Drosophila melanogaster: one gene and its partner. The protein of the gene in region 2 interacts with the protein of the main gene of each other region in a pairwise test. Each region holds a gene or a part of one and is shown on either strand. Other genes may lie near its edges. The genes, in order: CG1213 and CG3164.

Region 1 (17,737 bases), on a different chromosome or scaffold from region 2:
TGCGACATGCCGCTGCCTCCATGTTCGTTACCTCACTTACCACCGCCGGCGCCTTTTATGCCTCCTACAGCAGCTCTATAACAGCTATAAAGTGCTTTGGGTAAGTTAATAAAAGCAAGATTAGATGAATCTTAATATTTAGTAATGCTCATTTAATAAATTATATTTTTAGGATTTTTGCGGGAACTGTCGTGGTGACCAACTACTTACTAATGATAACTTGGTTGCCTGCATCGGTCTCCATCATGGAACGACTATTTGCCACAAGGATGTCCTGCCATCATCCGATGTCAATAAAGCTGATCCACGCCTGCAAGAAGTCAATTAACCGATTTTGTCAGATGTTTGAGGAGTGCATCACGAAAAGCATCATGAACTATGCCTATCTCTGGCTGCTGATCTTTGGGGCTCTAGGCGCGTCCAGTGCCGTCATTGTGTTCTGGTATCCAGGACTTCAGTTGCCGGAAAAATCACACTTCCAGCTCTTTGTGTCAAAGCATCCATTTGAGGTTTACTCCAGTCTCAAGCAGCAGTTCTGGTTCGAGAAACCATTGCAGGCGTACGAGAACTTCAAGATGCACATGCATTTCGTCTGGGGCGTTCAAGCGGTGGACGACGGCGACTATACGAACCCCAACTCATACGGCCACCTGCACTATGACAATAATTTTAACGTATCCAGCAGGCCGGCACAACTCTGGATCCTTGATTTTTGCCAGAGTGTGCGCCAGCAACCCTTTTACAAAGAGACTCTCGGCATGCTGTTGCCCAATTGTTTCATTGAAAATCTTATCGACTATATGAAGCGCAGGTGAGCATATACAATTATATACATACTTACAATGGCTTAGAAAGCTCATTAAAACTGGGTTCAGAAAAATCGATTTTGTTTACATTTGAAAGCTGGAACTGGTTTAGATGGATTAAGACAGGAGATATAGAGACACCAATACAATTTGCAATCATTAATAGAAGCTTTTGTTCATGTTGTTCAGATGCATCGATGATATGGACAGTACCAGGAAAGACCGTTCACCCTGCTGTGACGCACAGTTTCCCTTTGAGCCGCACATATTTGAGTACTGCTTGCCACAAAGCATATCCAACATGTATGACACTACATTTTTCCGGCCCGGCGTGGCAGGACCCAAGTTTGCAGAGGCTCCCCGACTGGAGACTGAGGATTACCTAGGAATGAGTGGAAATGAGAGTGCAGAGTACAGCACCAACGGATCATTTACACCGCTACTAGTCAAAGCCCTGGTCATCGAGTTCGAGTCCAACGTGGCCTACAGCACCATCTACGCAAATATTAGGCAGTTCTACGAGTCTGTAGAGCACTGGTTTCAGATGCAGTTAAAAACGGCACCGCCGGAACTTCAAGGAGGATGGTTCACGAGCGACCTGAAATTTTACAATGTGCAGGACACCCTTTCGCACGACACCTTTGTTGCCATTTGTCTGGCCATGGCTGCATCACTTGCAGTGCTCCTATGCTTCACCGTAAACATATTGATTTCCATCTACGCCGTACTAACCGTGTCGCTAAGTATTTTTAACACCGTGGCTGTGCTCATCCTGCTCGGCTGGCAGCTTAACATCTTGGAGAGCATTGCGGTGAGCACGGCTATCGGTCTGGCTGTGGACTTTAGCCTACATTACGGTATTCACTACCGGATGTCCCCGGTTAAGGAGAGATTGGCAGCCACACAGTTTGTACTATCCCGCATCATTGGACCCACAGTGATGGCGGCCACCACAACTGGTCTAGCTGGCGGAATCATGATGGCATCCAACATATTGCCCTACATACAGATTGGCGTCTTCCTGGTCGTTGTCATGATCGTTAGCTGGTTCTATGCCACTTTCTTTCTAATGAGTCTGCTTCGGGTTGCCGGTCCTCAGCATGGTTTTCTGGAACTCAAGTGGCCGTTGTGGAGCAAGCGAAGCAGTGGCAGCAGCAAGTTCTACGAGCGGTAAGGCTTTTATCGTATTGACCCTTTCAATTTTCTATATCTCTCTGTTTTGCGTTAATGTCATTTTTATCAAGCCTGACTGACGGGTGACTACCCGTTATCGGTTATTAAAACTCGAATTTCTTTGTGCAGGAAACCCAGCCAAGTGATCGCCAGCGAGCAGCTGCTGACCCCCACAAGCTCGGCCATCGTTGAGTTGGCGAACTCGGAGACGCACGAACTGGAGTCCCTAAACTCCAACAGCCTGATCAAAACCATTTCGGGCATCGAAAGCGCCCACGCATTGTCCTCGCTGCCGAGGGACTTCGAGCACTCATTCCAGACGATGCACGAGTGCAAATATCAAACGTATCCGTCTACATCCAATTGAGTTAGTTACTATTGCCGGACAACGCGTTGTTGTTGCCAAGAAGAATCAGGCAACTGCATTTTTATACAGGGTACGGCGGCTCTCAAGCCTGCCCGAGATACATTTATATATACATATACACGCCGTGTGTCGGCATATTTAGTTTTAAAATATGCTGGCGGTGGCATATGTACGTGTTGTGCGAGTTCTACATTGATATACTCTAGATATATGTGTAATTGTACTTGGTAGGATTAGGCAAAGCTATTTTCAAAAGACTCCAGGCTATTGCAATATGCTTTTATGCTTTTTTTTTATCTTGTGACATTTCACATTCGATGCTCCAGCCAAGTGAAAACGATTTGTAAACTGAAGCAATTAGCGGGAGGTACTGGGTACTCTGGGTACTGGGTCTTTGTCGGTAGGACTGTACGATGACGGTATTATTAGTTCTTAGCCAAACGTTTCAACGCTGTTTATGTTCTTATCTGTAATCAAAACTATTTGTACTCTGGTTTTATATTAGGTGTTAAGTTGGGCCGCATTGTTGGCGCCAGCAAGATGTAGTTACTTTACACGATAGTTATATGCGCAGAGATATGTGTTGTCTATCCTAGTTGTATGCGTTCAAAACATAAGAACATACACACGCTCACGTTTGTAATAACCATGTAACTGTGATACAGAAGGTGAGAATCTTAATGAAATTGGTGTTTATACAGACATAGTGTTATATCCCTAAACAATGACGTATTGTAATTACCTGCAACAAAATGGCCCTGTACTTCCTTCATTGAACTTATGTGTTGAAGTGATTTAATAAATGTTACTTGTAAAACCACTACAAATGCAGTCTCAGAATTGATGGATCAGTTTATTGAATGGGTGTTATGCAAATCCGTCATAGTGCGGATATAATTATTTACTTTTACTTGTTAACCCTATGCCAAATTTGCTTCATTTACATCAATACGGGTTTGTGTGGAATGCTTAGTGATAAACAAATTGCTTGCACCCGGCTATCCACTTTCCATTTTCCATTTTCTCGATTAGACTTCCATGAAGGTTCAATTCCATTGAAGGCTCCTTTAAAACGATTCCCCGACGGGCTTGATTGTGAGCTCATGGATCTGCACATTGGGAGGCGTCTGGATGTAATAGGACACTGCGTCGGCGACATCCTCAGCGCGCAGCATGGGAAAGTTTGGAATGACCTTATTGATTTTCTCATCAATGATCTCTGTGTCGACGGCTCCGGGACTTATGCTCTAGAAGTGGATAGGTATTAAGACTCATATAAGTGTTTTAGTTGCTTTCGATGGTTGGTAACAGATTTTTAAAATGATTCAATGTGAAACCATAATCTTTTTGTTTTCTGTGCCTAATGTACATCTGAAATCAAAGTCTACTGACCCTAAAATATAATACATTTTGAAGTTGAAGTCGGGCAACACGGGAATTTTGTGACCCACGACGCTGTTAATGACGACCACATGGCCATCGGTGACGTTGCGCGTCTGCTGCGATCGGAAGGCTTCGCGGGCACACCACACGAATCCCAGTAAATTGGTGTCCAGAACGGCTCGCATGTCGCGGCATTGTTGGGATCCGTGATGAGGGAACCGGTAGTGATGCCGGCGTTGTTCACCAGGACATTAATGTAATGCCTTAACATTATTGTCATTCGAAAAACAAAAGCCTGTCCTTTTTTAATAATATAAAATGTATTACCTTAAATGCACGTATGCATGTACGTACATATGTACATATGTATGTAATAAATACTTCGAGCTAGCTCAATTAAAAATCAAATTAAATATTATTACTGTTTTGGAGCTAAGAGAGAAGGAGCTTTTATCAATAAATATATAGAATGACAAGTCATTCTGATGTAAAAAATTACGATCTGAGAATAAAATGCAAGAAAAAAAACTGAAAAAAACATGACATTTGAAATGTGCAAACAATATCGATGATATAAAACAACTGTTAATATAATGAGTATCAGTACATAGCAAGATTAGTATATGTATATATTACAAAGCTACCTCAGGGAATCGGTCACCACGTTATCATTCAAACATGTGCATATTCTTTCTAGAAATAAACTTTTTTTTTAATCATAACGTGGGTAAACGTTTTAGAATTCTTTCTCGACTATCAGCTACTCAGCTAGTAACAGGGCGAGGGAGACATTAAATTTTTTTTTATTTTATTATTTTATTTTTTTTTGCACATCTTTGCATTTTTCGATCTTTGGATCCATTAACAACACACAGACAAAGACGGACAGATCGACTTCTGCTCTACGATTAACAGGTCTAAAATTCGATAAGCGAAGATATGTAATTCATCTAAAATAATCCTTTTTACGGTACCTTTTGTGGTACTTCGTATCATAGTAGGCGCCGAATGTATATTTAGTACAATAATAACTATTAATAAATAAATCCAACTGCATGCAGTAGCTGGAGTAATCGTGACCTGGTTAACTCGACTTGGGTGCGATTCAGTGCTTGCGAAGTGTGTAGCGATCGATCGGCCCCGATGGCATAATACCATCCTTGGCCTTTATCAGCGCCGGAAGGCAGATGGTCTCGTAGTAGGTGGTTAGATTGTACTTAGTGAACAGCTTGCGCATCTGCTTGGCGAACTCTCCTATCTCCATGCTCCTGACAATCGATCCTGGTTCTGGGATGAGGATCGACTTGAACGGATCCTCCTCCTGGATACGATTGTGATAGTTGCCATAGGTCGTCCGATAGTCAATGCCGTCCGAGCCGTCGAGTTGGACCCTATGCTCGCGCTGGCTGATGAGCGACTGGTAGTCTTTGGGCGAGTAGTCCGACATATAGGTGGTTTTCAGCAGGTCCTGCAGATATTCCCTGATGAGGAAGTAGTCGACGGGCGGGTTCACGAAGAAGAGCTTGTAGATCTCCTCGTTGCACCACTTGTTGCGCTTGACGAACTGCGCGTACTCCTCGCGCCAGTCCATGGATCGTGGCCATGTCCGCGTCTTCAACTCCTGCTTCTGGACCTTCAAGTTGTGCGCATAGTGGCCCGAGATCAGGGCGGGATCCGTTTGCTTCCGGAACGCGGTGACTGTTCGCTTCGGCTTGTCGGCGGTGTAGTCCTTGTAGAACGCTTGCGAGGTGGTGATGTCCTTGCAGCACCTCGGCAGTATGTGGTCCAGAAAGATCAAATCCATTTCGGCCAGCATGGCGTCTTGTGTTTTTTCAGCCATTGCGGAAAATATATTTTTATGTTTTTTTTTGTGTTTCCGTAAAACTCAATTACAGTGTTAGCCTATGTAAAGGTACTGTGTTCTAAGTATTTTTCAATCGTCAGATTCGAAAAGGTATCAGTGTTGTTTGTTATAACATAAAATCTCTTGACGTTGGAAGAACTACTTATTTTTTAATATAATATAATATATAAAATTAATTGGTCTTGTATTATAATCATACTATTATTGCCAAGGCATTAAATTAACAATGAGATTCGCAAATCTACTATGAAGTAAATAAAATTGGATAAAGAGTTTTTTAAGAGATTCCCTAACATTAACAATATATTAAAAAAATAGTAGATAATACGGAATTCATATTACGGATATTAACATACAGTTTTGCGGCGAATTCGATCTTAACTCAGCAGTTTATAACATTGCATACTTTTATGCCCTATGGATTTATGCCCCTATTGGATTTATTATTATACTCCTTACACATAGGTCATCCGTTGATGACCTTAAAAATGTTCTTTTAAAGTGCACCAAAACTTGCACGCCATAGCTTTAAAGCTGAAAGACTATATTGACATATCATATTGTATAGTTATTCTGATCAATAAATCCTCTGACTAAAAATGCTAAACCCCCGAAAGGGTCTTAAAAATGTATATTTTTTACCGTTTTTGTAAGCAATTGCCATAATATTTAAATGTCTGGCTCAGAGAAAGAAATTGTTGGTTTATAATAATATTATTACTAGACTTTTATTTTCATTACGACTTAACAAGAATAACATGTAACAATTGAGTTTGACTTACTACACTAGCCAGTAAAATACTTGCAGAGGGATCCTTATCATTATGGAATCAAGGGCACTATCAACTAAGGGACCAGCTCTCTAGTTACGCTTGCCATTGAGGCGATCCTGGATCTGCTGCAAACTAAGCCCCTTTGTCTCCATCACCACGAAGAGGACGAAGAAGAAGGCCACCACCATGCAGACAGCGAAGAGCCAGAAGGCATAGTAGGAGCCCAAGGCATCTAGGCTGGGATAGAAGAAGGTGACCAGGAAGCCGAGGGTCCAACAGGTGCTTGCAACAACCGAGGAGGCCACCGACTTTATGTTCGCCGGGAACATCTCCCCGAGAACAGCCCACGGCAGCGGTCCGAATCCCGTGCAGTACACGATGTTGTAGATGATCAGAGCAGGAACTGGCATCCAGACCACACTGGAGATGTCTCCCTTGACCAGCTGCATGTAGAAGAATGCTCCCAGGGCCGCAAGCCCAATGGACATCACACTGGAGGACGTCAGCAGCATCACCTTCCTGCCAAGGCGATCGGCCACCAGAGGCGTCAGTGCCGAGGATCCCACCTGGACACATCCGATTATGATGGTGGCAATCGCCGGATCCAGCCCAGTGTTGGCACTGGCGAAGATAGACTGGCTGTTGAAGAGGACCACATTGATGCCGGACAGCTGCTGGAAGGAGATCAGGCCAGCGCAGATGAACAAGGCCCTGCGATTGCCGGCATTCTTGAACAAATCCATCACTGTGCCCTTGCTGGCCATCGCCTCCTCTACATTGGCCTGGATCTCGGCCATCTCGTCGTGCACGCCCTCGGCACTCTGGCCCCGAAGGAACTGCAGCGACTTCAGTGCCTCCGACTTTCGACCTTTTCCGGCGAAGAAGTACGGACTCTCGGGCATCATGTAGAAGACCAAGTCGAACACTACGGGCACCACAATGCAACACCACTGTAGAGCCTGGTATGAAACATACGGTCCAATGGCATAGACGTACAGAATGCCACCTGTAGATTAAGCATAAAAGATTAGTCGTTTGTCCCACTCTCCCTTAGAGGGTACCTATCCAATCTACTTACCCACAATGAAGAGCTGCATCAAGGATCCGGTGGCTCCGCGCACATTGTCCGTGGAAATCTCACCCACATACATGGGCTGCACGGTCATCACGAAGCCGACGCCAAATCCCTGGATGAGGCGGGACATGTACAGAATCCACACCTCGGAGGCCACCATATTTAGGCCGAAAGCCAGGACGAAGAACAGACTGCTGGAGAGGAGCACCCACTTTCTGCCAATGCGATCAGCCATCGGACCGGCCACAAATGGAGCCACCAGAGCTCCGACGGCAATCAATGATGAAATCCAGGCATCTTCATCGGAAGTTATGGGCCGGCTCAGCGGCGAGTCTGAGGTGTCCTCGGACTTGAGCTTGGGCCCGATGGGGGAGGTCCAGCCTAGGGTGGTTCCCACCACAAAGGCGGACAAGTTGGCTACAAAGCATGTAATCGATTAGTTAAGGAGAAAAAAATTACTTTGATTGTTGGACGATGAAACTTGGTTATTTAAAAACACAAATTAATTAAAAATATGACAAATTGTCGAAATCGGTGTTTTTCTTATTGGTAATGTAAAGTAAGTAAATATTTAATAATAATTTGTTTTCTTAAAAAACATACATTTATGACTCAAATTACTCTTTAGATTAATATGTGTTAAGTCACCCCTTTTGGAATTCGGGATGAGTTAGTTATGTTATATTTGCGATAAATGATAAGAATATTGACTATTGACTCACCTGCCACGGCAGCCATAAAAATGCGACCGGACTTGACCGGTTCGGGTGACATCGTTCGAGTGTTTCCTTCTCTTATCTGGAACGTACTGACTTCCGTGTAGGAGTACTGTACTCCGGTCTCCTCCTCCCGGCTTATTGAGGGCATCTGGCCGACTTGGGTTGTACAGAAGCAGCTGCAAGAGCGCAAGAGTGGAAAAGCGAAAGTGCCTCATTAGCAATGCGGCTGACTGGGATTAATGATCTTATTCGCATTTGTAATTCAATCGGCTGCAAGTTCAAACGGTCAGAACTCGACACGTCTCCGATTTCTTTGTGGGATGGAGGATGGGGGATGCGGGATGACGCATGCCACCATATGGGAGGGGAAGCCAAGTAGCTACCGGAATTGTACTCCAAACAGCTTGACACATTATCTGCCGATTTTTTAACGCATCACGTTATCAGACCATTAGCCAGTTTATCTGGACTTAATAGCACAGAAAAAGTTAAACGGAGGCGGAACTGCAGTCTTTTCATTATTTAATGAATGACCAAATTATTTTAATTGCACTATGGACAAATTAATGTCTGTCGCATTTGTACTGCTAATTAATTTATTTATTCGCTGCCACTTATGTAATCACCTCTGGCACTTTTAGCAAATTTGTATAATGATTGCGACACCAAGTCATTAATGGTGTAAAGTGGAATTACTATTGTATTACTATTCACTTTGCATTCTTACAGAAAAATATCCTTGGAATCGCAGTAAATCCCACTCGAGTAGGATCTGCAAATGAAATTAAAACCGACGCAGTCCGGGGAACTGGAGAACTGTAATGCTGTTTGAATAGTCGCATCGCGCGAATTTAAAGATTTTCCACCTTATATGGCAGGCTTTCGAAATCCATACACGTCCAATAATGCTCACTGACACTCGACTTGACGAGTGCTCCTACACGTGCATTATCTTATCAGGGAAGCGCCTCCCGATTCACGGCAAACCCATTTATAGGCTATACCATACCATACCATAGCATATAGTACTACAAGTATATTATACTATTCTATAATCGGAGCTGCCATCTCTCGATCGAAACTCTCTCTGCCTTGGCCATCGAATCGAAATCTCTGTATTCCGCTGTTGTTCGTTTGGAATCGCGCCATTTGTGTGCATTTTGCACTTGAACTGGCCCATATACGTACGAGTATGCCCACATATTAAATGTGATAAGGAGGTGCAGCGAAAACTATGCCCCAATCTCAATTTGTTTGCTTCGCCGACTCGCCGGCAAAAGGGCGACCGGCCCACTTCGGTCCTGGTCAACTAAAAACATACAGCCCTTTCGATATACAACAAATCTTAACCCAAATAAATACCCTATATTCTGTCGAGTGAAGGATTACAAAAAAAGAAAAACGCTTTTGAACTTGATAGAAGTTTTCCCTGAAAAGTAAGCAAACTTCAGATTCTTGCTCTACAAAGGCAAATATTTACATACATTCTGGTATTTAAATTAAGTTGAGTTTAAAAATATAACGTATATTATGCAATGTGTGTTTATGTACCTCTATAGGGCTGGAAAACAAACAAAAGGCGCCAATCTACAAGTGCCTCTGACACTCACACACCCTTCTGAATTCCTAAATAAAATCAAATGTCGCCAAGCGCGGCGTAAACAAGTTTTGATTACGACTGCTAATTATTGAGTAATTTCCGATGCATTTTATAGCCCTGTCCTTGGATCTATTTAGTTGGTTCCAAATCGAAGGTGGGGACACAATTTCTGCGCCTGGGGCGAGACACGTGAAGAGGGTGTGAGGGCACTCGAAATGGAGCCGATTGTCATATCTATTGGGGTAGTATCTCAACAAGTTGATGGTCGAGGAACACCTGGACTGAGCCAAATAGAGCACTTCAGATAAATCCTCCAACTACTAAACTTCCATGGAAAAGTAAGTAAGTAACAGTTGAAATTCACGCAATTAGTAATTACTACGTGGATGTGTAACGTCGCATCTGACATTGAACTGTTACTGTACTGCTTATTATTAAATAACTATATTTATTGACATTCTTGAAAAATGCGACCTCGGGGTTTTGATCATAAACCATTAAGTGATTTTCCCAATCTCTAAGATATTTCAAGTAGTGAGCTCCGATAAGCATTTCGAATAAATTGGACAGCTAATTTTATTAACATTTTTACGTTTACCAATCCGCGCGTCCAACGGAAGTGAGTTTTTTATTTACGGTTCACTATGGCAAAACTTTCCGTAGTTCTATTTAGCATTGGGTTTTGTTTCCACTTGCCAAATAAATGTGTTTTTTGAGAGCATTGTAGTTTTCGTATGGTTAATATGTTTATTTTCGATGCCTAACAGTTGAATGGGGGCGTTTATTTATGAAATTGTTATCAGTGTGCAAATTCAAAGCTGACTGACTAATTACGCAGACTAGCTTCCCAAGTATAAAGAGTAATTAAAAATGTCAAAAGTGGCATTCTACTGTTGGAACATTCTCACAGATCGCTTTTTCACTAACCAGACGACACACATTTTAGAAATGTAATTAAAGTCAATTTGATAAGACCACGTTCCTCCAGAGCCTCCAAAATCAAGTGGTGTTTTTTTCATCGATTTTGTAGGTAAAGATACGATTACCTTCGCAGACATGTCTGGCATTAAAAGCTGATATGCTGGAGAACACAAGTCAAATCCAAAAAACACGTGAGATTGGAATTCATCTTTTGGGGGATTTTTACTTGTTTACGAAATGGGTATTGTGGAAAGTTTTCATTCACTGAAACTTTTGGAAAAATACAGACATTACATTGGGACTTAATGATTGTGTTTCTTTTTCATCCACCATTGATCCTTTTCTAAACACACATATGCTATGTTTTTTAAGTTTTTGCTAACTATTTGTTGTTTTGAAAAGTTATTAATATAAATATTAGTTATTAATAATTTGCCACAATGGAAGATATCATTTTAGATGCAGCTCTAACTGGTTACCTATATGTTTTTATAATTGACTTTAACTGATTAAGAAACTTACAAGACACGTGATCTTAGGCAAAGAATACTCGTGCGAACCGATCGCCACGAAATCAGATGAAGACTAATGGAATTGGTAACAGGCTGATTTGGGGAAACATTATCTCAGCCACTCGATTCACGTTCACGTTCAGAACGATAATGCGTTTAATGTGGACCCTAATCGGAGCACCTGTTATTATCATATATGATATTTATAATAATTCAAGGCGACACTCGATGATCAATTTATCAGCACTCGGCAGCGGGACGGCTGAAAACCAACACTCTTATTAACTAGGTCGCCAGACTTACCCATTTCGTAGCCGAAATTATCAATTAGTGGGCAATCAGTGAAACAGTGAACACCGTTTGGCTGCACAATGCGGCGTACACGTAATGTGGGAATTAATTCAACTCTGGACTGAACAGACAGATCAAAGCTAACTGTTTGGCTGGGCTGTCGGAATGGAAATGATGTCGGATCGCGAATGTTTTGGCGCTTTTGTGTTGGGCCTGAAAAATTATGACAGACGCATTTATACTCGCACTTAGTCGCAAGTGAGGCTAGATAATACGAATTTCACACACCACAGAAGCACAGGGGAAGCTCACTCACACACGTCCGATTGTAGAGATCCAGACTTATCACAGACATATGTATGTATGTATCTATCACCATATCATAGCGAATTAAGCGCGACCGTTGAACCAAGCTCGACTGAGAGAGTTGAGTTTAAGTGATTTGTATCTGCCCAGTCGACAATTGGCCGATGCTCTCGCAGCCTTTTTTTTGTCATTGTAAAATAGCCGAACGGATAAAAAACACACATTTAGGTTTGGTTAAGGTGTTCACAGACCTCTAGTTCCGGACCGAAGTGTGGAAAGCTTTGGGGCTATTTGGGCGATACCGATCGATGTGAATCACCATCCAAGAGGAAGTTAATTAGCATTCAGCGTGTCTGGTTAGGGGAACTGACTGATTCCGATGGCCTAGCTGGCCAAGCGATACAGTTAGTACATACTCAATTAATTTGTTTGGCTAGTCGGCCAGTATTGTGCGTGCACCGCGCATCTGTTAATTGAAATGTCTCCGGTGTAGGCACTTAAGTGCCTTATATCGACATGGTCGATTTCTGGTTAACACCATCCGGAACCGGCAATGCGATATGAAATACATGGGAATCGCTGGCCAGAAGTCGATGCGTTTGTTTATGACGATCTGCTAAATTTAAATCGGGAAAGTGAACTGCTTGCTGGTGGGGGGTTGAATATTGATAAGGAGAATGATTTACAAACTGGTTATCATGTCTTGACAAACTTTTATTATTATTACTTTTATCATTCAGGTTTTGTTGATTGTATAGAGACATGGTAAGACAGGAGGCTCTTGCTGATGCCAATTTAGAAACAAGTTGCGTTTTTTGTAAGCTTCCATTTTTAGAACTATACTTAATTGACAAAGAAGTAAAGCCCAATTTGCCACAGATAAAGAGTCCATAAATGCGTAATTCCATCGTGAGAATAGGTAGCTTTCCTTGATAACAAAAAAAGCATTATAAAAGCAATGCTTTAGTGCAATTTGCAAAATGGGAATATTATTTCAAGATAACTAATAGGCAGTTGCTATTTTAATTTTCAATAAGCTTTTATTGTAGTTATTGCCTTAAGCTTACGGCAATAATAAAAAGTAAATTAAGGTAAATAACGCATCACATCAATATGGACTTCTTAATCAACGAATTCGATTTCCTCGACATTCAGATACGCGTTACCCAGCTGGTGTAAGTGCCACATGTTAAATTTTAATTTCAAATTACAAAGAAAGTTTTCTGAGGTTTATTTTTCAACACTATGATAACATTGTTATTTGCGCACATTAATTAATAACTGATATAACCCATTAATACATTCAATTTATTTACTAGGCACTAGAACTTCAAACAGGAATTAAAATTATCGCCAATTGCTGTAAACTACTATACCAATGTTTACCAACAGCAATACAAAATCAACTTTATGAGCTATTTGTGCGAAATTTATTATTGATTCTCTGCCTTTATCAATCTTTTTGCGACTTGTTTAATTTTTAATATAATTAATTAATTAGTCTAATAAGGCTACATCTAATAATATTTTAGTTCTATACACAAAGTACAATTCAGGTAAGTAAAGGTAAAACGTAAAATATGCTCTTGAAAATTGAAATACAATTCTTGTTAAGTTAAAAGCATTTGGTTCAAAATAAAATTTAATAGCTGTATCGACGAATTGCTCTTACTTATCCTATTTAAAGCGAAACCGTCATGTACATGTACATATATGGACTATATCCCATCAATCCCACCGATTTATCTACCAGTATGTCAATTAAAATTAGCGACCATATCGCGGCATCATCTATACTATACACATGTATATCACTCCCACTTTTTCATCCCCTGCGATATTTGCCATTTGTATTTGTCTTGCTGCTGATTGTCGCCAACCTGTTGAGCATGTGGGCAAATAGCCGAGCAAATACCCAAGCAAATAGGGGCTTCGATGGGCTTCCTGTAATTGCGTTAAATATTTGCATAGAAGCGCCGGCAATCGAACGCAGTGGGTTGGCTGGCACGATTTCAATTTGCATTTTGTGCAACGATCTGGCGATTCCAATTCCTATTCCAATTCGACTCCGATGTCGATCGATCAATCAACCGACGATGACCTTCACACTGACCATGACGCAGGGCGGTGGGTGGTGGTTTTGTGGTTGGAATGGGGAATCGCCGAGCACTGGCGCCAGCAGTGGGCGTGGCCTGTCACAATCGCGGCTGCAATCGCCAGATAGGGATCCAATTTCGCATTTTAAGGGGCGTACCCGGGACTGGGCTATCGCCTCCAATCTGACCCGTAAACACTGCAGGTTCCTGTACAGCTTACTTTTATTATCAAATATATATGTACATTTGTTAAAATTAGCACACAGAAGTATAAATATAGGTATTTGTCTTTGCAATCCTAAAGTACGTGTGTTTATACAGCAGGTGGTTTATACAAAAGGAGAGCACGTACATATGTAACTGGGTGGAAGTGGAAGTCCATTGAATCTTATATAGATATTTGGGCGTGACCTTGAGTACTTAGGAACTAGTTAAACTATACTACGTATCTGAACATCGTGGAACACCAATAAGCTAGGTTGGCCTTGAGTCCGAAAAAATTGTAATAAAATTAAGAATAGGTTACATATCTTGGCTGAAGTTCAATTGTGCCAGAGGTAATTTCTTGTAAATCGTTGAAAATAGAAATAACATATAAAAAGTATTCAAAAGTATCTTTTCAAGGGCTGCTTATTCAACTACGAGTTCAATGGCATTCAGCTAGAATAAACTATGGCATGGAGTCCTTCTGTGATCCTCAACGTCCGCTCAACCAGCTCTGGATTTGACTGGCACTCTTGCCCTTCGTCTCCTGCAAGGCGATGGCAACGTAGGCAGTGGCCACCCCCATCCAGGCGCTGAAGAACCAGAACGGCACATCAGCACCGCCAGCATTGAGCACGCCGAAGAGCCATGTGACCAGGGACACGCACACCCAGTTCATCATTACGCTCAGGGAGACGGCGATGCCCTTCACGTCCGGCATGAAGAGCTCGCCCATCATCATCCAAGGAATGGGGCCATAGCCCACGGAGAAGCTCACGATGAACAGCACTATGCAGAGCAGGGGCAACCAGCCAATGGACTGGGACAGATCGGTGTGCCGATTGATTGTGTTGTAAGCACCCAGCATGGCCAGGCAGACAGTCATGATGGTGCTGCTGAAGATCAGCAGGATCTTGCGGCCGGCCTTCTCGATCAGCAGGGAGGAGGCCAGGGTCATGATCACCTGCACCACACCCACCACTATGGTGCAGACGTTGGGATTCAGCGTGCTGCTAGACTCGAAGATCTCGTTCATGAAGAAGATTACGGCATTGATGCCGGAGAACTGCTGGAAGACCATCAGCAGCACTGAGATCACCATACCGTTCCGCGAGGCGCGGTTGCTGAACAAATCCTTCACGGAGGCATCCACTCCAGTCTGGTCCAGGTCGTTTTGGATGGCCTGGATGGCGTTGCTGGTGTTGCAGTAATCTCCCCACAGCCATTTTAGTGCGCGATTGGCCTCGGAGCGCTTACCCTGCAATTTAAAAATGTGTCCGTATAAATAAATATTGATAATCAAATCATTGTCTGAACTATACAAAACGTAACCGAAGCATTTAGCATTTGAAAAATATTTGGAATAAAGATTTAAAAAATACTTTAGAAAGGTTTATACAATTTTGTATAGCTCTCAGGGACCTGAGACCCTTACGTTTTTAAGTAGATACACTGGCGTCTCGGGCACGATAAACAGGCCGACGAGCAGCAGGATGGGTATGATTAGACAGAGCAGGCTCAGAGTTTTCCATGACACCAAAGCTCCCACCACGTAGATAAACAGGATACCAATCGTAAGGAGCAACTGGAACAATGTGCCTAGACTGCCGCGAATGCTAGTCTCCGCGATTTCCGAAATGTACATAGGAGCCACCACGCAGAAGCTGCCCGTTGCGATACCTGAAGTGCTGCACATTCAAATCGAATTCAAACTGGCAAGTTTACATCACTTACCAATTAAAAATCGGCCCAAGTAAAGCCAGCCGACGGAATTGGCGAAACTAAGCGTGATCCAGGCCAAGATGAAGGGAATGTCCATGACCATAGCTGTATAACGTCGCCCGATCCTATCGGCAATATATCCAGAGGGGAGGGCTCCAAAAAGGGCGCCGAAGGGCAACATGGAACCCACCAATGTTTCTGCAAAGAAGCAAACGTTGTTTAGTAAGCCCCAGAACTTGTCAATCTGCCCAGAAATAGTACTCAATCTATAATCAATACTATCTATACTATTTATGATCACGCAAATCATAATCACTTGTAAAAAAGAGATAGCAAAATGAGCTTAATAGTTTCGGAGGGCCACAGTCAACTTAATCAATTGGAAGAATAGATAACAAAAACAAGAAAGAACGCTATACTCGAGTTACTCGACTATCAGATACCCTTTACTCATCTAAAAACATTTCATATTGTTTATGGAATATCGATAGAAATTGAAAGTTTTGGGCAAACACTTTTAGTTCCGTCTGTTCATACGGACGGACAGAGGAACGGACATGGCTAGATCGACTTGGCTATTGATCCTGATCAATTAATGTAGTATACCATTAACTCCACGAGTAACAGGAATAATCGAAAAATGGTATTTCTAAATAGATTCCTAAAGTGTGTAGGTTTTATCAATACCAGGATAGCTTTACCCTTAAAATAAAAGGGAATCAAAATGCAAACATGTTATCAATGCTATGTGTTGAACAATTTACTGGCGTATAAATGCACTCTATAACCATAGTCTATAATGTTGAACAATTTACTGGCGTATAAATGCACTCTATAACCATAGTCTATAATCTTAAGGTCCAACGCTATAAGAAAGGTACTCACTTTGCGAATCAGTCAGTCGAATGTCATTCTCGTTGGAAGTCGAGTTGGAAATACCGCCAGTTGTGGAATTGAAACTGCTTTCGTTTCCGGCAGATATCTGCGGAAAAACAGGAGACGTCCAGGATAACGCAGTTCCAGCGGCAACCGCACCCAAACAAACTGTAACACATCGATTGTTGGTCAGTAAAGACATCAATCTTAAAACAAATTTATTGTTCTCACTTATCATAGCCGCCACATATTGCCGGGTCTTTGAAGTCTTCGACTGATTTTCTTGTAGAAGATCATAGGTTATTGGATTGCGTGAGTCTCCGTCCTCTTGACTGACGGTCTGCAAAAGAAGAAGGAATCTTTAGGATCTGCTTAAAAGATTATATCACACTTAAATAGGCTGCATTCATAATGATTACGATGGCTGCCCTGCTCGGTTTCCTCACTGGCCTGGTTATGATAATAGGCAAAGTTCTAGCGTTTCTTTGGACTTTGACGAAAACCATATACGTCACCCTGAAAATTGCAAGGACCTTAAGGAAAACACCAACATTTAGCGATGTGAAGACTCGATTTAAGGAGTTTTCCCTCAGAAATGCAAAAACTATACTAAAAGAATAGTTGAACAAGTCTTGAACGCATTCATGATCCAATTCAGTACCCAATTAACTCTTAAGAAATGTCTAAAATCACTTGGTTTGTACACCGCTGAAAATGTGAAAACCTTCTTACTTAAAGCACTTTTTCATTTAAAAACACACAAAAATATATATATATATTGTTACATTTGTCCGACAAACTCTAAAATGCAATGCTGCGATATTTACCTGCCACCAACGAGCCATTGCACGGACCACTTTTTCCGAATCCATTCGAGATTCGGCCGATTTCCGGGTTCTTTAGCAACGCCTTATATAAGACGATCGCAGACGAAACGCACTGCGCCAAATTTGACGACTCTTTGTGGTGTAAAAAACGCTGTTTTATGGTTTGTATATATCGGATTATGTATTTCACTTATTTCTATCGAGTCTCATTAATTATCTTAG
Region 2 (14,707 bases):
AGCGTCGTTCTTATCGAGAATAGCCTTCAGGTTTTGCACCTTTACCAAATCGTTGCGAGCCTTGAGGCCGGCATAGTCTGCTGATGAACGAACGTCCCGCTTGCCGTTGTCAATAGCATCGACCAGTTTGCGCGTATGATCTCCGTGCTCCCCGCAGGACACCTCAATCACGTAGCTTGCCGGATTGTGGTAACTGGGGCACTCCAGGTTTAGCGTAGACAAGAAGGGCACCAGTTGCTTTGTACTGCCTTGATAAACGCACTGTCCATCTGCGAGAGTGTACAGCTGGTCGAACATCTCGAAGAGACGAGCGGACGGTTGATGGATGGTGCATATGACTGTGCGTCCGCCAGCAGCTAGCATTTTTAGCAGATGAATGCACTGAAAACAGGTAGAGCTGTCCAGGCCGGATGTGGGTTCGTCAAAGAACATTATGGGAGGATTGCTGACCAGTTCAAGGGCAATCGAGAGCCGCTTTTTCTGACCGCCGGACAAATTTCGAGTCATCGTATATCGGTGCTCGCTCAGGCTGAGAGTAAGCAAAATGTCATCGATCTGGAAGAGGGTGTTAAGCAGGTTATTAGCACGTTTAAGATAAAACCCAATACACAAGACTGTCGAATCAAATTGTCTACTGGATTGGCTACTTATGATTAATCTTTAAAGTTATCAAATTCTTCCTCTCGGGCTTTTTTAATTTTTTCAACTTGCCATTGAATGCTTCTCGGGCTTCGAAAACTTCTTGCTGAGCTTCAGATTCGTTGCCACAGTCATTGCTTCCTGGACGGTAAGGTTTCCGTGAAGCTGATTGTCCTGCATGATGTAGGCAGAAAGCTTGCGAAATGCGCTTAGGTTGCGCTCGGCACCGTTCATCGTAACGCTGCCTTCGATGCTCGAAGTTCTGCAAGTGCAATAGATTAGTAATTTGGTAATTTGGATTTTAGAACCGAGGGCTATTGTAAGTATGAGTATCATCTAAATTACATTCCTGTACCATAGTCTAAAAAGGCCCAACCTTTTTTTTTTGTGCGTCTACTAGACCTATTATCACTGGGCAAAGCCAATTTCGAGTAATCTAGCGTGTATTTTATTGTGCATATCTACGTTTGTGTGTATGCGGACCTTTATTTGATATACTAAGCATACATGTGCACGCGATCGGGCAACCTAAGTCCGAAGTCCAGCAAAGTAGTAGCTGATTCTCCCTCAAATATTCAAACCAATAAAACTTGGCGACATTGCTAAATGTGTGTGAGGAAATAGCAAAGCAGTCGATTACACACAAGTACACTTGTATCTATGTATCATAGATTTCCTGCTCGTATCGATTCAGGGTGATCGGTTGACCACTCCTGGTAACAAAATTTAATGCATGAAAGGGTAATGAAACGGTTTATGATTATTATGCAATAGAGCAAAATTTAAGGTTTACAATAAATAAATAAAGATTGAGCTGTAGAAGGAAAGTCTTTGCGCTTAGAATAGGTACATATGTAAGTGTGTATCCCACATAAAATACAGAAATACGAAGAACGCAAGGCGAGAATAGGTCGGCTGTTTAAGCACCAAAAGCGGCAGAGTGGTTATCAAGTCGCAATTATTTCTGATGATAATACAGGGCTGAATATAAACATTTTCGAACTCGTTTCGCCGTATTCTCGTGCGCTGGCGCAAGGTCAGATTCAGTGTCGGAATCAGCAGCTACTTGACGTGAATGCAAATAATCAGGCCCTGCGAAACCTACTTGTAGCCAGACAAAATGTTGAGCAGCGTACTCTTGCCAGCACCCGATGGTCCCATTATGGCGGTGAGTTCTCCAGACCGGAGGCGTCCACTGACGCCCTTCAGAATGGTCTTGGCATCTGTAATAAAAACACACAAAATTAGTGTTTGGGCCAATCTCTTGTTGGGACTAAAAATAGTTCGCGTTTTGATATGTCTTACGTCAATATCTAAGTGCCGCCGCAGCTATCAAGAAAGATATTGATTGCATTGGCTTTTGGACGAGCAAGTGTAGAGCCGATAGGTAAACAAAATCTGCAAAGTCTGACAATCGAAACACATAGCACGGTCAATGGCCCCATCACGTTTTTCTTCGTCCACCTCCATATATAGTATGACTTATGCTATTATCGACAGAATTCCAACAGTTGTCAAACAACCGCGTCCATTACTCAAATTTTATTAAACATCCAACATCAACAACGGACAACTAATAAACAAAGCGGCTAAAATTCGTAAAAAGCCAATTGCACTTTAGTAACGCTTGTTTAAAAATAGTTTGACTTATTCTGACGTATATTCGCAGATGCTGCCTAAATGGAACTGTTCAGATGCGGAAGTGCCTTATAATCATGGCATACCTTTAAAGTTTAAACCAATAGTTTTGTACAGCAAGCCATCTGCTCTACGGAAAATGCTAATATACCCGTTTTCATGGGGGCACGCTCTTCGACTGCCGGCTCTTAATCAAAAGATGTATTTACTATTGAATCGACTTTGGACACAAAAGCGAGCTATGACTGGTTATAGAGCTTCTGTAAAGTGACTATTACGAAATAATTCATTTTATGTTTGTCATAACTCCGATTAGTAAAGTACCGTGACCCGCTCAGAAGTGAAACTCAAATTTATTAAGCTCATGCAGGGACTGTAAATGTTTTATTCGGCGACTTACTTAATACGTAGACTTTAAAAGCTGGTAATGAATTCCAGCTGCCAGGCAGCGACTAGCAAGTCGTAACCACTAGGTACGCAATGTCTCTCATTGAACTTACTTGCTTGCCAATTGATGTAATAGCACCAAAAGTGGGGTCACGCTTGAAAAACTATAGTCCAGCGCTAAGGCCAAATCGTAGCTTTGATGTTTATGACCGGATTGGACAACAAGTGGAACCATTCAGGGCTCCTAAGAAAAGGTTACGCCAAACTTGCAACAAGGGCACAGAAAGTCGCTTTCAGAATTTATTTATATCTGTTTTAATATAGCAGCCGAAAACGTTAGCAGGCACTTACTTCATTAATTGTGTTTACTTTAAGTGGCATAGTTAGCCAAAATCAGCGCAATTTCCATCTGTTGCCTCACTTCCATCTTATATTGTATACATTATTTTGGCACATAACTTAGCACACCCCAGAAGGCGGCGTGCCATCTGCAAATCTTTCGGCTAGGTGGGGCACGCTCACAGGGCAGTGTAAATAAATCTGTGTATATTCGCTTATTCTGAACGACTTAATTGAGTCGGATGGCCGACCTTTGAGGTGTGCAAAGTTCAGGCTGCTGCCTTCTCCAATTAGTTTTGCACTTGGCTGGCCTTGGGCTTAAAAACAGGCTTTGACAGTCCCTCAATCTTAGACGGGATTCACGGACTATGTCCGCCGTGAGGCCAGCCATCCAATGCGACAACGAGGGGAGTGGGTTTCATGAATGAGCTTTTATAAATATAAGAATAAAGCAGTTGTGCACGTTCGCATACCAAACTAATGGAATATTATCGCTCGGCCATCATTACTTATTCTGAACGGCCCCACCGGGGCACTGCATATTACCACAAATGTGTTTTCACCACCACACCCGACTAAAGCTAGCTATTGGCAGTGACTAAATCCTAATCGCTCTGCTAACACAGAAAGCACATACCGCCGCCATCAGTCTTGACTTCCTCAACTATAACATACCCGCTACTCAATTTCATAATCCTTTTTTTTTTGGCGGATCAGGGGCAGTCTACGAGGAAAGGGTATAAAAACAATACCTCTCCCTCTGGCACGTCATCACAAATTGTTTTCCATAAAAGCAGTAGATCCAAAAAAAAACCCCATTGTGCTCCACCCATGCTTTAAAGTAGATACACTGCTACGTGAGAAAAGTGCGAGTACATGGCTCCTCGCCTTTTAGATGCTATGGCATCGAACCAAGTTGTTGACTGTCCCAATAGCGAAATAGCTTGTGTGGGCAGTTACTCCGCGGCTACTGGCTGATGATTTTGATGTATTTAGCAGTGCTTATCGCGGTGAAACCTAGTGAACTTTGGCCAGAGCCGCCCTTGTGAAACTGGGAAATGAATTTGACGAAGAGACGACGGGTTACATATCTACTCAGCCACAACCCGAAGTTCTCCGTTGCTCACAGTCTGAGTGTTGATACTGCGTTACAGCTGCTAAAAGAACAAAGAAACCAGAAACCAACACAATGCGAAGCGCAGCTAAAGCAAACAAGTAAAACCCGCTAAAGCCAGGGAAGTGCGTAATAGCGACAGAGTACTCCGGAGAACTAGCTCAATAACACATGTGCGGAGTACTACTAGCCAGGACCGGAAACAAAAGCTCTAGGGTGAGGTGAGAGCAGGCGCGGGAGGTTCAAGATCCCGCTCTCGTGCTGCCGAGGAGTGCAGCTTGATATAGAGAGAGGTACTAGACAGTGGAAGTACTTACTGCTCCGGTTCCCCTCCTTGACGCGGTACGTCAGGTTGTGAAAGGCCAGGTCCACCGCTGGTCGCTTGGGGAGGTGCTGGAGCGTCTTTGGCTGGGCGGGTACTATTTGAGCTTTCAACTGACCCGCTCCGGCTGTGCCCAGTCTGTTGTCGTTCAACAGATTTGCATTATCGTTCTTAGTCATCTTGTCAATCAATCAACCAGGGGTTAAAAAGCAAAATGCAACCACTGTGTTGTGTGTGTATTCTTTGTAAACTTTAGCACTGACAGCAATACTGCAGCCCCTGCTGCCCTTCGTTCCCGTTTGGTTTTTCGTTCGCGTTCTCGATTCGATTCCACCACCGTCTGGTCCGGTGAGAGAAATTTTCCACCCGTCTGCTCGAAACGGTACTGCCGCTTCTCAAATATTAGGACTTCACTCGCTCGCGCCGCGATCGCAACTGAAATAAGCAATTGCGGCAGTGGAACAAAGGCAGAAATTTAGGCAACCGCTGACAGAGAGTGCCATCGCATACTCTCACAGCCCCAATGCTTTACGTCTGTGGTTAGAGTGGGACGACAATAGAAGCACTACTTCTGGTGGGGATTCTAGTGCGATTGAGAGGCACTGCGGGTTGGCTCTCTCTCAAAAGCCAGCGCATTCTTCTACTAAGTCTTGAATGAATTTGGGAAAAGCCTATAATCTGTGAATATTCCTCGATCGGCGGACCCATGTATCTCGAAATAAAATACCACTAACTAATTTCGAGGAAAGTCTTTACCTTGAGGAAGGTCTTTGATTCCCAGTCTTGTACTTTGATTGGTTTATCAGCCTTTTATAGTAGTTAGTCCTGGAAGCTAAGGTTCTGGCCATTGGTTTATTCAATCTAAGTTAAAAGTTCACGGCCTCGCTCATGACTCATGAGTTATTGGAGGGGCTTATCTATGGGTGTCAATCTACAGCTGATAGGAGTTTTCAATGAGCCGATAAGGGGTTGTACTTTGTCATTTCGTGTTTTACGTAAAAATAAGTTAATCGGTGCCGTAATTCGTTTAAAGGAGCTCTAGTACGCTTTTTAATGGTTTGCTTACGCGACATTTTACCTACATTTTGCTTTTCCCTACATTTAATGTGGCATGAGGTCATTTGTGGCTATGGCGTGGGACGACCTTACAACTTTGCCCCAGAAACAGTTTTGTGGTATATCTGAACGCAACAGTTAGATGTAGACATTGCTGTAAGGCTCCTTGTTGGCATGCTTTTACGATGCTCCGGTCTATATTTTGCCCAATCTAATTGGGATTTACGGATTGCACTGGGAGTGCTAATAACGTTTAGTTAAACCGGTTATTGTATATATTGGGGCAAGTAAAAACGTAATGAATTGACCAACAAAAGGTATTTTCCCAGTACAAACCGCAATTTGAGATATTATTCCTAGTTCGGTTTCTGGGTTCAAATCAGCATACAGCACTAAAGTTATGCAGTCGCCTTAAGATATGAAAGAATAATGTATTTCCACTGGCAATTTCCCGATGACTATTGGCTTGGAAATTTTTTAAAGCTTGTGGCTAATCAAGTCACGGAGATGTCAACAATTGGCAGGAATTGCAAACCGGTTGTTCTACACTTGTTGATTTCGTTTTATAAACGGGGGGTGTGGTATATTAGATGTGCCAACTAAATGTGATGCATTTTGCTTGAGACCCGCCTGATTCGGCTACTTACAGATTATTATTTTCCAAAAACTGCTTCCAACTATACTGGTTCATGGTGCCGTAACTCAACAGCTACTGAAACCATCGCTTTGAAGCAACAAGTTGCCTTCGCGAAAGCTAAGTCGCAGGCAATAACGAATAGGCAGTCGAAACCCAAACCGAATATAAGAATTAGCGATTTTGTATTTGGTTGTTGCACATCGGGTGTAAAAATATGTACACTCTGCTGGAGGGAAACTTTCGTAGTTTCTTGCGAAAACTGAAGCCGGCCAACTAGTGGAAACGATGCCACGTAACTGGAAAAGCGTAGACGGCTATATGGGAATTACTCGGGTCTATGGTGAAAAGTGGCACTCACACATTGGCACATAAAAGTTTCCTCTGTTTTCCTTGTTTTCTTTGTTATGCCCACCTGAAGCTCTCCCAATATGAGCCGTCCAAAAAAGCTTGCTTTCCCGCCAGAAACAGAGTTTTAGCTTTATTTTAACATTAATCCTATCTGAAATATACTCATCCGTTCTTCAGTACTTTCCTCTAAGTTACGAGGCAACCAACAAATAATTGGAAGACATATCTGTGGTCTCGGCTTTTGTGCGACAACATGCCATTATGTAGGAGGGAGTGGGCCAATATGCGTGGCTTGATGAACGACGGCCTAGGACTAAGTATAATCTGTAACAAATAAATATTGAATATCCTCCACACAGGATATTTAGATCAGAATTTACATAGCATTTAAATTTCAACGTTTTACATACTCAGCCTAAAAGTTGGCTACACTGTGTACTTATACTGCTATTTTAGTTATAGTTTTAGTTAGATATATTTTTAATATTCAGAACGTCGTATGCGAGACCCAAGCCAGGAATAGGAACATTTAGTACCGAATTTACATATTATAAACAAATCATTATTGCTTCATTTAAGGCTCTATTAATGCGGTCCACCACAGAGTTTATCAAATGCCAAACACGAATAGACACAGCTGATACGGTGCTCCTTGCATTCGCTATATTTAATTGTATATAGTGAACTTTGTACCAGGCGTGTATTCAAAACAATCAGCCAAAGAGCAAAATGGTGGAGGTTTTTACGAAGAGATTACGAGAAATGAGAGAGTGTTGTAATAAGTAGTACTGCTGAAATGCATCTGCATACTGCGTAACCTATCATAGTTTCTGAAATGAATTTATCAAAAATGTAGAACTTAATTTGTGGGTTCTAAAGTGGGCCATGCACATAAATGGTGCAGGTGTTCTACGATGAGAATTACTAAAAACTTTTGTTTTTCATTTGGCGCTAATGCAAGCTACAAGTGCTCGAAATGCATAAATGAGCTTATAGCGTGTGCTCAGTAACGGGGCTTTTGGCTACCCGACTAGCCTCGAAACATAAACATTATGGGTCGCATTGCAGGTCTCTCTGGCTAGTGGCTGCGGAGCGGGTGCTCATATACCGCCAGTTTTGAATGCTCTCTGGGAGGCCTTTGTCTGTGCGTCGGCGTCGCAAACGAGATAAAGAAAAACCCGAGGCGCGCGACGAAACAACGAAAAAAGTGAATGCTGTCGCGCTAACTGTGCTCACAAGACTTCCAAACATCGAATTGGTCGGGTGTCCCCAACAGTCGCTCCGCAGCCCCTGACAGAAACAGAAACGAAAACCGAAAGTACCGCAATCCAAAATTACCAAAAGACCTGTCCAACCAGCGACTGTTTAACCAATCATATAACTGTAAAGTGGAAAAACGAGCAGAGCACGGTAAGTTGTGCGGAAGACTGCGTCTTCACTGGAAAAGTACCCCTTTTTTAACTACCTCGGAAAATCAAGTGCAAGGAAAATAATTACATAAAAATTCATGAGAAAAGCAGAGTGAGCCAGCATGCCACCAGCCCTTGCCCTTCCTGCGCACGTCCTCACATTCGCCAGCAATACATAACTAACCGTGTCCTTTTGTCCTTCTCGCCGACTCCAATCCAAGAACCAAGATGGCACTACGCGTGGCAGGACTCTTCCTGAAGAAGGAGCTGGTGGCTCCCGCAACACAGCAGCTGCGTCTGCTGCGTACTGGCAATACCACCCGCTCCCAGTTCTTGGCCAACTCCCCCAACACGGCTCTAGACAAGAGCATTCTGCAGAGGTACCGCAACCTGGAAACGCCGGCCAATCGAGTGCAGGCTACTTACTTATGGATCGACGGTACCGGCGAGAACATTCGCCTCAAGGATCGCGTTTTGGACAAAGTACCCAGCTCCGTGGAGGACTTGCCGGATTGGCAGTACGACGGCAGTTCCACCTACCAGGCCCATGGCGAGAACTCGGACACCACGCTCAAGCCACGCGCCATATATCGCGATCCCTTTAAGCCGGGAAAGAACGACGTAATTGTCCTGTGCGACACCTACAGCGCCGACGGCAAGCCGACGGCGTCCAACAAGCGTGCCGCGTTCCAGGCAGCCATTGACCTAATTAGCGATCAGGAGCCCTGGTTCGGCATTGAGCAAGAATACACTTTATTAGACGTGGACGGACGTCCCTTCGGCTGGCCGGAGAACGGTTTCCCAGCCCCACAAGGTCCTTACTACTGCGGCGTGGGAGCTGACCGTGTGTACGCTCGCGATCTTGTGGAGGCCCACGTCGTGGCCTGCCTGTATGCTGGGATCGACTTCGCCGGCACCAATGCCGAGGTAATGCCCGCGCAGTGGGAGTTCCAAATTGGTCCAGCCGGGATTAAGGCATGTGACGATTTATGGGTGTCGCGATATATTTTGCAGCGCATAGCTGAGGAGTATGGCGTAGTGGTCACCTTTGACCCCAAACCGATGGAGGGTCAGTGGAACGGAGCCGGCGCGCATACCAACTTTTCCACAAAGGAGATGCGTGCTGATGGCGGAATCAAGGCCATCGAGGAAGCTATCGAGAAGCTGAGCAAGCGCCACGAGCGGCACATCAAGGCATACGACCCCAAGGAAGGCAAAGACAATGAACGGCGCCTCGTGGGACGTCTTGAGACTTCTAGCATCGATAAGTTTTCTTGGGGCGTGGCCAACCGGGCCGTAAGTGTGCGAGTGCCGCGTGGCGTTGCGACGGCCGGCAAAGGATACCTCGAAGACCGGCGGCCAAGCTCCAACTGTGATCCCTACGCCGTGTGCAACGCCATTGTTCGCACCTGCCTGCTCAACGAGTAGGCTGTGAGCGGTGCAACAGATGTTTAATTTTTTGTACATTATGTTTTATGGAACTGTGAAGCGTATCCGATCATTTGGTTATATTTACATTGAACTGAAGCAAAATTTAGTTTGCTTGTGCAAAAAAGACAGGAGACCGAGGCACGAAAAGCGTGCGCTTAGAATTTAAGAACGTGGGTGGGTGGCAAGAAGAACTAAGCTAAAGCGAAATTTCCTTAAAGCGATGGGGCCTCATGAATACTTTGCCATATATCTCACAAACTACGTATATCTATCATTGCTTTAATCTAAATAATAAAAAACATTGTACTCTACGTTAATTTTTTGTACCTTTTAGATCAAACAAACATTTTGGGATCCGACGTTGAATTCGGTCAACGCCATTTTTTGCCCTTAACTTCTTGAACGCACTTTTTTAATAACTCCTAAGAGTTTCTAAATGTAAATTTAAGAAGGAAATATCACTGAAATCGGACGATATGCATATTAATCATTCATATCCATGAGCACGAATACACATATATGTGAAATATGTTTATAAAAACCAATTGTTGATTAGAAGTTGTTAAAAATAAAATACTAAGAAATTAATTTATGTATATATATTGGTACATATGTATCTCACTTTACGGATCTGTCGCTTCACTTTGTTCGGTAGCATTTTACATCATTTTACTATATGCTGTTATAATATAAATGTCTAAATACTAGCACTAGCAAAATTAAAAATTCCATTGAGATACATAAATACATTTTGAGTAAAAGCAGAACTGCGTACAAAGCAAAACACATTACTACAGACTATTTTATTTTCTCTTTTCTGGCGAGCTTTTGAACAACTGTTGTTGCAATGACTGTGAAAATCAAAGTTTTAAAATATAGAACAGCTTGCTTGTAAATAAGAGTGACATGAGGGCACAAAAACTAGCTAAGGCAAGACCTTGTTTTTAATGGAAAGTTTTCCACCACAAACAGCTGCCTGACACTGAAAGTATTCAAAGACTAAATCTTAGGGTTTCCGTTCAGAATATGTGTGTTTTTCGCTCAACTGACACACACCCTCGTATATATGTACATATATGTATGTTTGTATGCTTGGATGAAAGATATGGCTGCGAAGGAGACAATGCTTCCATATACTCGTATATTCCCAATGGCAATATACTGCGTCCAGCTGATAGGGCAGGGGTACTGCACTCTGGGATGGCAGGCAATTGCATTTCCCTGCAATCTTATATTGATTGAGTATAACCGCGAACTCAATCGCTTCAAAGGGGGGCTATTAAGTGTGGTTATTATACTTAAACTTACAAAATAAATCTTAAATTTGAATTAAATTAAAATAGCAGATACTGCAGTACTACTAAACTGATATTTAATATACATACATATGTATGTATCTAGTATGTCTTCGAGCATCTAAAATTGAGTGTGCTTTTTTTACTGCACTTTGCATGTCCGTTCTCGCAATTGTTGACATTCTGAGGTGCAGTTAGCGGTGTTTGTTTGGCTCTGCTGGGAGCGGATTACGGATTACGGGGTATGCAAATGTAATAAGGTTAAGAGGGAGAGATAAGGCCATCCAGTTTATACAAAACAGTGTTAAATACACAGAGATAGTTCGACCAAGCCAGCCAGCCGAAAGAGGCACGGAATCATCCGTAGTCAGACCATCTATAGCTTCGTTAACTCATCTTTAAATGTTCGAACGCATTCCTGTGCCCAATTCCAATTCGACTATCTAATATACCCGTTTTCCATTGCAGCATTTGTGGGCACAATGTAGATACTATAATATATTTTAAAATCACATAAACAATCGAATCAAGGCACTAGCCTGTTATGGCCACAGAACTCAATAGTTCCGCACCGTCGCCCAAAAACCAGATTATTAATTAATTGAAGCAGGTTCATTGGTATGCATGAAACACGTTCAAAGATGTCAACATCATACAATGCAGGCCTGAGGAGATCCAGTTATGCTGCCTGAGACCAGGCGATTTGCATAAAACGGAATGATAAGCTGGACACCTGATTTCGAAACTATTGATAACAAAATGATATTGATATATCACTGAATCAAGTGATCAAAATAATATATTTTTGCTCTAGATAAATGTAGGCAACGATCGACTGGATAGAAATATAAGCTTCACTTACTCTCCTCACCTTCCTATAAAATCTTCAGTTCGTCAGTTCACTCGGTTAAAGTCCAAGCAAACTGATAAGACAGTAAGGCCACGAAGTTAATCTTCCGGCTGCAAAAGCCTGTCCAGCGTTTACCATTATCTTTTGTACCGTGCCTTTTACTTCTGACTCGGTCAGAAAAATACCTCCGCCTGGGTAGGGTTATCAAAGGGCAATAAATCATACTGGCTGCGGTTGCGAAAATAAAATAATGTTGAACCATAATTGATCAAATCAATTCCATATAAAGAGATGAAATAATTTTACCCAGACCCCTGCGAATTTTATTTAAATTACCTTAAAGTTGGGCACGATTGTGGAGCGTGATTCCTGAACGGCCTGTCACAGTAAACTCATCTACTGATCGACTCTTGTCTGGCCAATTGCAAATTACCATTTTCAGAGCCTTTAACTGGGTCAAGACATTCGCTCGCCTTGCAATGGGAGTGGTCGGAAAAAGCACTGATAACAGCGGATTTACGGACTCAATGCAGTACGTAATGTGACAAGCGGCAATAAACGGGTAACAAAACAGAGCGAATCTGTTGTGGAGCTGCTGGTGAAATAATCGTTGCTGGGGGTGCTGTTTATTTTTATGTGATGTTTCTTTTGGAGCGCACCAACTGCTTGTTGAGATTATGTTTTATAGCGCTACTTTCAGTCCGCGCAATCGTAAATGATTGCTCGATCAAAATATGTGGTCGCACTCTGGAGAATTATAAAACCTGTCAGGTACAAGCAGATACATAATATATATAATATAATCCTATAATTCTATGTCCTGTGACCGATGTCCAGCAATTAATCGGTCACGTAGCGTCATTTTGGAATGAAAAGAAAAAGAAAAGATTTGCGGCCGCAAATAGTTTACTACGCAACCGATTTTTCCATTTTATCTATGGCGGGTGTCGATACGGTGGGGTTCTTGCGCAAACACAGGCAGCCAACAAGTGCTGTCTTTTATCTGGCCTATTTATCTAATTTCCCACTGCTCACGCCATTCGCAATGTTGTGGTCGTGATGAGCGCCTATATTTAATTTGCAGAGCATATAGATGTCTGGAACTGAATCACCCAACAGCAGGGTCGGACTGCGTGTTCTGTCTTAGTTTTCCAAAGAGCCCAAAGATCTTCCTCCCCCCATTTTATGCCGCTTTTTTTTTTTAGAACACCTCCACTTTACTTTCTCTGCCACCACACGCGATTCCCAATATTTGCGTCATGGGCCCACACGCGTCTACCAAGTGATCTGCGATCTGTTCCGTGCGTTTTGGCGCATCGCATCAGACAAAGTTCAATCCCCCGATTCTTGGGGTAATCACCGTAGCCAAACCGATGACGGGCATATGGTCAGGCAAAGGTCGTCTTCTGTGGCACACATTCATGCGCATTACTTTAATTTCATTTTATTGTTAATTGGTTTGTGTCAGAACGGCGATTATGTTTCTAAGTTATCAGTAAAGCGTCCCGCTTTTAGTTGATAATGAGATTAGGATCCATTAGCAATATTCAGTCTGAATGGATGAGAGTCGCAGAGATAATATATGTATTAAAAAAAACTTTGTTTTGAGAAAGTCGTTTGATAAGAGCTTTTCGATAAGCCGGCAGAATTTTACTGGGCGTTGTTTACCCAGACCTCATTGGACTTAAATGATAAAATTAACTGTACATATGTATGTGTTTTCTTTGCATATTATCCAGACAATTTAAGAGAACGTATTTTCTGTTTACATAAAAATATATAACATTACGGGGCAACTGCTTGTTTCATGCCGTGCAGGCAATTCGAGTTCGTTCAACCGATGTCCATCTCCCTACACCCATTTTATTGGTCATTAGCGAGTCCGAAATTACATATTTGGGAAGACCTAGTAAAACCTTGTCAACACAAATTCCCCATTTAGGCCGGGCCTGTTTTAACAGATAATTAACAATAATTAATTTGGAAAACTTAATTTAAGGAAAAAGTTATTACAAGTAATTTCCCTTTAACAATTGCATAACAATTTTGAAAGGGATGTAAAGTGCAATGCAATAATTTAATATTTTAATAATATCATAAGCACACATTTTAGTTGTAATATATGTGTTACATTATTATTTATGTTACATTTATTACAACAGTGTAGTTCCTACTTTGTAAGTTTATTAAACTTATGAAGCAGATATTTAATTGAATTCCAATAATTAACCCAAAGAGATTTAACTATTATTGCACGTATTCTTAGACTCCAAAAAATTACAAAATGCAAAAGGAAAAAGCTATATAGATATATAAATATATATATATATATATATGCATCTCTTGTTTGTAACGTACATTATGTTATAGCTGATGACTTCGGTGAACAGTGCAAAGGCTGCGCCTTTTACTTTTCCATCTGTAAAAAAAACTTGTGCCTGAAGTTAATATACCTTCTGCAAGGGTAAATATAAATGCCCGTTAGTATGCCACAAAACAAACACCTGTTGGTAAAGTATACTACACTGATATGTAGAATTCTCGTATTTTTTTGATCACTTTAACAGTTTGTGGAAATTATATTCAGAGGTATAAAGTGTAAAGTATATATATTATTGATCAACAGCTGAGTCGATGTCCGTCTGTACGTTTCTGCATAAAATATTCTCATAGTGCTATCTTCCAGAAGATATTCCAAATGTCTTCTCTCTATTGCAGGTTGAACACAAGCCGTATCAGACTACTTTATCTGATATATAGCTGCCATAGAAATAGTAGGAAAAATAATAAATTTGTATTATTACTGCAAAACGTTGAATTTTTTCTTGTTCGATTTACTTGTGCTGATTTATTTCGGTCGATCTTTATTCATTGGATCCACAGTACTTTTTCACAACCTTTCCAGTCATGAAGTAGGTGGACAGCGCCCTTAGTCTGCGGCCACGTGAAAGTTCTTCAAACAAGCCGCCACTCACGGAGAACGTTTGTTTCGGTTGGTAGAGAAGGCTCAGAAGTGGGTTTTTGGGGCTTACGCGCATGTTGATCATGACGTATGTGCCTTTGACCAGAGGACAGCTCAGCGTGTAGTTACTTTGCTTGAGCATGTTGTCCTTGGCTGGCTTAAAAAGCGGTACGGAATTGAAGACATTCTGCAGGTCGCACAGTTTGGTGGAGGCGTTGTATATGGTGCGAGGCTTACCCCGACCGGAGTGCTGAAGTATGAGGATGCGAGACACCGGTGA

The links.
Region 1: the proteins of CG3164 (region 2) and CG1213 interact in a two-hybrid assay, tested with the Drosophila melanogaster proteins (one large-scale study listed by BioGRID).

The regions. Positions count from the first base shown.
Region 1 is NT_033777.3:5,835,130-5,852,866, reverse strand, and holds CG1213 (uncharacterized protein), read right to left. Parts: upstream 11,698-17,737; 5' UTR 11,497-11,697; exon of another isoform or gene 11,204-11,496; intron 8,988-11,203; exon of another isoform or gene 8,787-8,987; intron 8,337-8,786; 5' UTR 8,309-8,336; coding exon 8,164-8,308; intron 7,859-8,163; coding exon 7,445-7,858; intron 7,373-7,444; coding exon 6,456-7,372; 3' UTR 6,299-6,455; downstream 1-6,298. Other genes in the region: disp (dispatched), read left to right, coding at 1-100, 173-811, 996-1,976, 2,109-2,346; CG14676 (uncharacterized protein), read right to left, coding at 4,835-5,569; CG1208 (uncharacterized protein), read right to left, coding at 14,584-15,348, 15,526-15,770, 15,825-16,010, 16,698-16,856, 16,920-17,028, 17,516-17,560.
Region 2 is NT_033779.5:124,366-139,072, forward strand, and holds the start of CG3164 (uncharacterized protein), read right to left. Parts: upstream 6,427-14,707; 5' UTR 6,187-6,426; coding exon 6,143-6,186; intron 4,881-6,142; exon of another isoform or gene 4,619-4,880; coding exon of another isoform or gene 4,578-4,618; coding exon 4,435-4,577; intron 1,863-4,434; coding exon 1,745-1,862; intron 902-1,744; coding exon 712-901; intron 556-711; coding exon 1-555. Other genes in the region: Gs1 (glutamine synthetase 1), read left to right, coding at 8,118-9,317; ovm (oven mitt), read right to left, coding at 14,330-14,707.